Macaca mulatta: one gene and its partner. Each later gene encodes a partner of the first gene's protein in a complex. Links are inferred from orthologs where the notes say so. Each region holds a gene or a part of one and is shown in the gene's direction. Other genes may lie near its edges. The genes, in order: GBA1 and SCARB2.

Region 1 (3,820 bases):
CTACTGAAAATAGAAAAAATTAGCTGGGCGTGGTGACGGGGGCCTGTAGTCCCAGCTACTTGGGAGGCTGAGGCAGGAGAATTGCTTGAACCCAGGAGGCGGAGGTTGCACTGAGCTGAGATTGTGCCACTGCACTCCAGCCTGGGTGACAGAGAGATACTGCATCTCAAAAAAAAAAAAAAAAAGAAAGAAAAGCGGACTGGGCGCAGTGCCTCACCCTGTAATCCCAGCACTTTGCGAAGCCAAGGCAGGAGGATCCTTTGAGTTTAGGAGTTTGAGACCAACCTGCACAACACAGCAAGACCCTGTCTCTACAAAAAATACAGAAATTAGCCAGGTGTGGTGATGTCCGCTTATAGTCCCAGCTCTTCTGGAGGCTGAGGTGGGAGGATTACTTGAGTCCGAGAGGCAGAGGTTGCACTGAGCCGAAATCGAGCCACTACACTCCATCCAGGGCAACCTATGGAGACCCTGTCTCGAACAAACAAACAAAAAATTGCTCAGTACCTGGCCAAAAAAGAAGAGGCTCACTATTCAGAGGGAAAGAGGAAGGAGATGGTTGGACTTCTAAACTCAATAGAGCAGGAGAGGCAAATGTAGAATGTGCTCAGGAAATATCTGTGAGATGAATGAACGTGAGGGAAGTAAGGTACTAGATATTGCCCTACCCAGAACAAATCCTGTTCAGCATTTCCTTGAAAAGTGAGAAGTCTGGAAGGGGTGGATACTGATAGAGTGAAGCAACTAATTCAATTCTACAACTTGACAGCCACACCTGTGCCAGGCTGTCTACAAGGATATTTAGAATGAGTAAGACATTCCTTCAAGGAACTCCAGGAACACAGGCCTAACATGTTGCGATGTTTAGTGTCAAGCAGTGCACTAGAGACACATTATCACACTCAAACTTAACAACAATTCTCTAAGGTAGGAATTATCACTCCCCTTTCATAGATGAAACAGAGGCTTAGAGTGCTTGATTTATTGAAGGTCAAACAGCCAGTAAATGGTGTAGCCAGGATTCCAACCTTGCCATCTCACTAAGACTGTACTTAATTACTGGAGGGACCGGGTGTGGTGGCTCATGCTGTAATTCCAGCACCTTAGGAGGCTGAGGCTGGTGGATCACCTGAGGTCAGGAATTCGAGACCTGCCTGGCCAACATGATGAAACCCCATCTCTACTAAAAATACAAAAATTAGCTGGGCATGGTGGTGGGATCCTGTAATCCCAGCTACTCAGGAGGCTGAGGCAGGGCAATTGCTTGAATCAGGGAGGTGGAGGTTGCAGTGAGCCGAGATCACACTGCACTCCAGCCTGGGCAACAGGACAAGACTCGGTCTCAAAACCAAAAAAAAGAAAAGAAAAATTACTGGAGGAACCTAGAAGAAGAAATGATCAATTTTGCTTGGGGTGTATCTAGAAAGATTTCACTGAGGTCATTTAAAGAACAAAAAAGATGGCTGGGGTCCAGCACGGTGGCTCATGCCTGTAATCCTAGCACTTTCGAATACCAGGGCAGGCAGATCACCTGCGGTTCAGAGTTCGAGCCTGGTCAACATAGTGAAACCCCATCTCTACTAAAAATAAAAAAATTAGCTGAGCGTGGTGGCAGGCACCTGTAATCCCAGCTACTTGGGAGGCTGAGGCAGGAGAATCACTCGAACCCAGGAGGTGGAGGTTGCAGTGAGCCGAGATCATGCCACTGCACTCCAGCCTGGGCAACAGAGCGAGACTCTGCCTCAAAAAACAACAACAACAAAAAAATACAAACAGCAGACAAGTAGTTCCCAGGTGCCTACCAAGTGGTCAGGCACTGCACTTACCTCACTGACTGCAGTAACCACCCTTTGAGGTGGTGGCATTGCCTCCATTTTCCAGGCAAGGAAATAGACTGAGAGCTGGGGTTAGTCAGGTCATGACTGTGTGTGCCACTCCCGCTAAATCTCATTTGATGTGGTTCGTGAGGCCACAGCACGACAACTTCCTCCTTGTGTCCACTGAGGATACGGCTTTGTACAACACTTTCTGGTTTCTGAACTACTTACAAACCTCCCTGTCCTGTGAGAAAGGAAGAACGGTTATTACCATCTGCATCTGATGATGAAACAAAGGACGCTGCAGAGGAGCCACACTAACCACTCCTTCCCTCCAGTCCTGTCATCCCACTGCCGGTGTCCCACCCTCCTTGCACCCTGCACTTGACCGGCTAATAAGCCCCCTCACTTTTTCCTCTGTGAAGCCACCCTAGATAATTCCCCACCCACGAATGGTCCCTCCTCATCTCAGAGAGCTCTCCATGCACACCTGTTACCGTTTCTGTCTTTATCTGTAAATATCTGTGTGTCTGACTTCCATGCCTCACACGCCTCTATAGGGCAAAGACTGTGTCTTAAACATCTCGGTATTGTCAGTATTTTGCACAGTGAAGTTTTTTTTTTTTTTTTTTTTTTTTTAAATCATATCAGCTTTATTTGTACCTTTTCTGACATTTCTATCAAAAAAGCAGTGTGCCTGCCTTAGTTCCCATTCTCTGGGATTTAGAAGCCTCTACCTCATTCTCCACCCAAATCTGTGTTCTAGGCTCTTCCTAAAGTTGTCACCCATACATGCCCTCCAGAGTTTTATAGCGCATATAATCTGTAACACATGGGAGGAAGCCAATTGCCCTTTAGAAATATGCCTGCAATTGCCTCACTTCCTGTGTCATGTGACTCTCCCAGTCATCACATGACCCATCCATGTCAGGAAGCCGGAATTACTTGCAGGGCTAACCTAGTGCCTATAGCTACGGCAGGTACCTGCATCCTTGTTTTTGTTTAGTGGATCCTCTATCCTTCAGAGACTCTGGACCCCTGTGGTCTTCTCCTCATCCAATGACCCTGAGGTGATGGAGTTTTCCAGAAAGGTAAGAGAGAGCTCCCAATCAGCATTGTCACAGTGCTTCTGGAATCCTGGCACTGGAATTCAGTGAATGACAGACTCTCTTTGAATCCAGGGCCATCATGGCTCTTTGAGCAAGGCACAGATGGAGGGAGGGGTCGAAGTTGAAATGGGTGGGAAGAGTGGTGGGGAGCGTCCTGATTTGGGGTGGGCAGAGAGTTGTCATCAGAAAGATTGCAGGGAGAGCTGCACCCAGGTGTCTGTGGGCCTTGTCCTAATGAATGTGGGAGACTAGGCCATGGGCAGCCAAAGGCAGCTAAACTCTGCCCAGGAGAGTAGTTGAGGGAAGGAGAGGGGCTTGCTTTTCAGCCACTCCTCATTCTGTCCTCAGGAATGTCCCAAGCCTTCGGGTAGGGTAAGCATCATGGCCGCCAGCCTCACAGGATTGCTTCTACTTCAGGCAGTGTCATGGGCATCAGGTAAGTGAGTCAAGGCGGTAGCGAGGTAGCACAGAGGCTCCCTTCTGCCTCGTAGTCCTTTGGTAGCCTTCCAGTACTCTGGTGGTAGACTTTTAATAGGTGCTCAATAAATCCTTTTGAGTGACTGAGACCAACTTCGGGGTGAGGATTTTGTTTTTTTTTTTTTCTTTTGAGACAGAGTCTTACTCTGTTGCCTGGGCTGGAGTGCAGTGGTGTGATCTTGGCTCATTCCAACCTCTACCTCCCAGGTTCAAGCGATTCTCTTGTTTCAGCCTCCTGAGTAGCTGGGATTACAGGTGGCCACCACCATGCCCTGCTAATTTTTGTATTTTTAGTAGAGATGGGGTTTCACCATACTGGCAAGGCAGGTCTCAAACTCCTGACCTCAGGTGATCCGCCCACCTCGGCCTCCTGAAGTGCTGAGATTATAGGTGTGAACACCTGCCCTGGCCAAGGGG
Region 2 (3,820 bases), on another chromosome or scaffold:
GTGTCGATATACCACATTTTGCTTATCCATTTATCAGTTGATGGACATTTGGGTTGTGTTCCTTCTTGGCTATTATTAGAAGTGCTGCTATGAATATTTATTCATACAGGCTTTTGTATGAACATTGGGTATATACCTTGAAGTGGAATTCTCTTGAGTATATACATAGGTGTGGAATTTTGGAGTCCTGTGAATTCTGTTTAATTTTTTTAGGAACCGACAAACTCTTTTCTGCAGTGACGGCAACATTTTTATATTCCTGCTAGCAGTGTATAAAGGTTCCAATTTCTCCACATCCTCACCAACGCTTACTATTTTTTTTTTTTTTAATTGCCATCCTAGTGGGTGTGAAGTGGTATCTCATTGTGGTTTTGATTTGCAATTCCCTAATAACTAATGATGCTGAACATGTTTTTATGTGCTTTTTGGCCATTATTATATTTTCTTTTGGGAAATGTCTCTTCAAATCCTTTGCCCATTTTAAAATTGAGCTCCTACTTTTTAAAACCATAAAATAATAATATGGTTAATATAGTATTTAGCAAAATAGTCACTATTTTCTGGTCCTGGTTCAGTCTTGTGTAGCAGTTAGGCCCTAGTAGGACAGTTTCATGAAGATTAAATTTTTTAGTTACTGTATTAGTTAGGGTTGCCAGAGAAACTGAATCAAGAGGGTGTGTATATGGAGATGAGAAAGAGGGAGAGAAAGAAATTTATATTATGGAATTGGCTTATGTGATTATGGGAGCTGGTAAGTCTGAAATCCATAGGGCATGCCAGCAGCTGGAAACTCAGGTAAAAGTTGATGATGTGGTCTTGAGTTTGAAATCTGTAGGGCGGGCTGGAACCTGGAAATCCAGGCAGAATTTCACTGTTGCAGTCTTGGGGAGAATTCCTCCTCTAGGAAACCTCTGTTTTTGCTTGTAAGGCTTTGAACAGATTGGATGGGGCCCCGCCACTCATTGAGGGTAACTTCGCTTAAAGTTAACTGATTGTAGATACTAATCACACCTACAAAATACCTTCACCGCACCATCTGGGCTAGTGTTTGACCAAACAACTGAGCACCATAGGCTAGCCAAGTTGTCATCAAATTATCGCAGTTACTTTAAATGATCGTATTCACGTATTTTCAGAAAAATGGGACTAATGATGGAGACTATGTTTTTCTAACTGGAGAAGACAATTACCTTAACTTTACAAAGATTGTGGAATGGAATGGGAAAACGTAAGTCTAATGATTTATCAGTGGAGTTATTTTTTCAGTTTTCATTTAAACTACATATCTACTTCTACATTGTTTAAAAAATGTGTTTAAGCCTTTTTTGGATGAAAAATATAAAAACATGTAAACAGTCTTGTAATTATTATTCTACAAATCAAGGTGGTGGTAAAACATCTTACAGAGTAAATATTCGTGATTTGTAGATTTATCATGGCCAGGCATGAATTACAGGCCAGTGAAACTTCCCACTCTTGCTTAGTAGTCATTGAGTGATGTGTAGTAGCTACAGCACAAATACTTTTCAGACCACCACATGTTTTGGGCTATTTGGCCATTGCCTCTATGAAAACTGATTTGGGGCCAGGGACCTACTTTTTCTCCCCCTTGATCTAATTAACACTGTTGTGTCTGTGTATGGAGAAGACACTGTGTGTAGATAGCTCCAGTTAAATCTTGCAAAGTCCTGACTGTTTAAGAGAATCTAAACTCAAATGTGATCATCTTTACTCTTTCTTGCGCTTATCAATTATAGGTCACTTGACTGGTGGATAACAGACAAGTGCAATATGATTAATGGAACAGATGGAGATTCTTTTCACCCACTAATAACCAAAGATGAGGTCCTTTATGTCTTCCCATCTGATTTTTGCAGGTAAAAGCTTTAAAGATAAGTTCTTTTTTAAAAATAAGGTCTTTCACTGCAAGACCACTAAAAGCATGAGGAATATATGCAGACACACTTATTATGCATGGATATTTATGCTTAATCAGTGATACATGCTGATGGCACATCGAGACAGTATAGTGTACTGGTTCACAGCACAGACTCCTGACTGTTGGTTTGAATCTTAGCTGTACCACTTATAGCTGTGTGACCTTGGGCAAATTACTTAACCACTCTGTACCTCACTTTCCTCATTTGTAAAACAAAGATAGAAATTGTTAACTATGTTAGAAGTTATGAGGACAAATGAGTTAGTATTAGTAAAATACTTAGCCCAGGGCTTGTCACACAGTAACCAATATTAAGTGTTGGCTGTTAGTTACTATGATATGCTCTGTCAAGCTTAAATTGACCTGGCCTACTTCCAGTCAATAGGTTGTCTCTACATGGAAGCCAAATAGAGGATACTATTGTCCATATTTCAGGAGAGTGGTGTCCTCAGGGGAGACAGAGACGGAATGGAATCAAGAGCATTATGTAGATAGGTTTGGTTATATCCATAATATAATTTTTATTTGTCTAAGTGGCGGATACAAAGGTATTTGTTAGAATATTTTTTCTCTTTCTGGTGCCTAAAATATTTCATTAAAAAATGCTGTGGGGGTGGTTCGTGCAGTGAAACCACCTATGTTATTCATAACCTTGCGAGAGATGTATCAACAGCTCTGGTTCAGAGATGAAAAAGTGAGGCCCAGAAGGCTATTCCGGCCAGCCTTCACAGGAGGGCCTGAGGCTCACTGGTGACTGTACATCGAAGTGGTCTGTGAGGCACTATGCAGTGTAAGCAGTGGTCATATTACACGGGACCATGTTTGAAATCAGTAAGAATGAAAGGCAGAATTACGTTGAACTCCATTTAAATAAATGACTGGGGCAAAACATGGAATCTGATTTTTTTTTTTTTTTTTTTGGTGGGGGGAAGGAATGAATATCAAAGTGTATATTCTAATAAAATATCTGCTCAGTGTAACACTTTTCAAGTGCCCCTACAAGGCCACAGCCATCGCTGCCTGTTCTACCTTAGCTTTGGCTCTGCCATGCCCTGGTTTTCCTGGCTTTGCTGGTGACCCGTCCGCACTGGCATGTGTCCATGCAGGTCTAGAGGCCTCTTATTTTTTATGTGAGTCTCCATTCTAAATGTTATCATCTTAATTTTCTACCACATATTGTTTTTTCTTGTTTGGATAATACCTCCATTGCTACCACTTAAACACCTTTCACTACAATTCATCTTCTGCTTTATTACACGTTGAGCTGACAGAATGCCTTCCAAACATTCTTTTCTACTTACCCTATGAGCTTCTGGCCACGTTGTACCTGAGAACTGTTGCTAACTTGTGAATTTGGGGCAGATTACAATGACCAGAGTCCACATTCACTTTTTATTCTTACATCCTAACAGGTCAGTGTATATTACTTTCAGTGACTATGAGAGTGTACAGGGACTGCCTGCCTTTCGCTATAAAGTTCCTGCAGAAATATTAGCTAATACGTCAGACAATGCTGGCTTCTGTATACCTGAGGGAAACTGCCTGGGCTCAGGAGTTCTGAATGTCAGCATCTGCAAGAATGGTAAGAACTCAAGAGAGGGGGTATGATAGGGGTGTCAAGAATGCAGAAGGATTGGAGTTCAACAAAGAATATGTAGCTGGGCATAGTGGCGCACACCTACACTACCAGCTACTAAGGATGCTGAGGTGGGATGATCACTTGAGCCCAGGAGTTCTAAAGTCCATCCTGGACAACATAGTGAGACCCCTATCTCTAAAAAACAAAACAAACAGAAAAGAATATGTTGTCAGCCCAATAGAAAGATCAGTTTCTTTCAAGAATAATGTTTCATAACATGGCTATTGAATGGTAAAAAAAAT

What was found.
Region 2: the proteins of GBA1 (region 1) and SCARB2 are in contact, whole or in part, in a cryo-EM structure (PDB 9FJF), measured with the Homo sapiens proteins. The link is inferred for Macaca mulatta from reciprocal best matches to the Homo sapiens genes GBA1 and SCARB2. Residues at the interface, in NP_000148.2 of Homo sapiens: Leu130, Asn131, Ala134, Ile169, Glu190, Lys194, Leu195, Pro430, Arg434, Ile445, Thr446, Asp448; in NP_005497.1 of Homo sapiens: Lys161, Ala162, Tyr163, Gln164, Lys181, Glu183, Leu187, Phe191, Arg192.

The regions. Positions count from the first base shown.
Region 1 is NC_133406.1:111,751,162-111,754,981, forward strand, and holds part of GBA1 (lysosomal acid glucosylceramidase), read left to right. Parts: intron 1-967; exon of another isoform or gene 968-2,061; intron 2,062-2,307; exon of another isoform or gene 2,308-2,408; intron 2,409-2,721; exon of another isoform or gene 2,722-2,842; 5' UTR 2,843-2,890; coding exon 2,891-2,908; exon of another isoform or gene 2,909-2,909; intron 2,910-3,274; coding exon 3,275-3,362; intron 3,363-3,820. UniProt on the Homo sapiens protein: Glucosylceramidase that catalyzes, within the lysosomal compartment, the hydrolysis of glucosylceramides/GlcCers (such as beta-D-glucosyl-(1<->1')-N-acylsphing-4-enine) into free ceramides (such as N-acylsphing-4-enine) and glucose.
Region 2 is NC_133410.1:57,639,923-57,643,742, forward strand, and holds part of SCARB2 (lysosome membrane protein 2), read left to right. Parts: intron 1-1,136; coding exon 1,137-1,228; intron 1,229-1,757; coding exon 1,758-1,877; intron 1,878-3,351; coding exon 3,352-3,521; intron 3,522-3,820.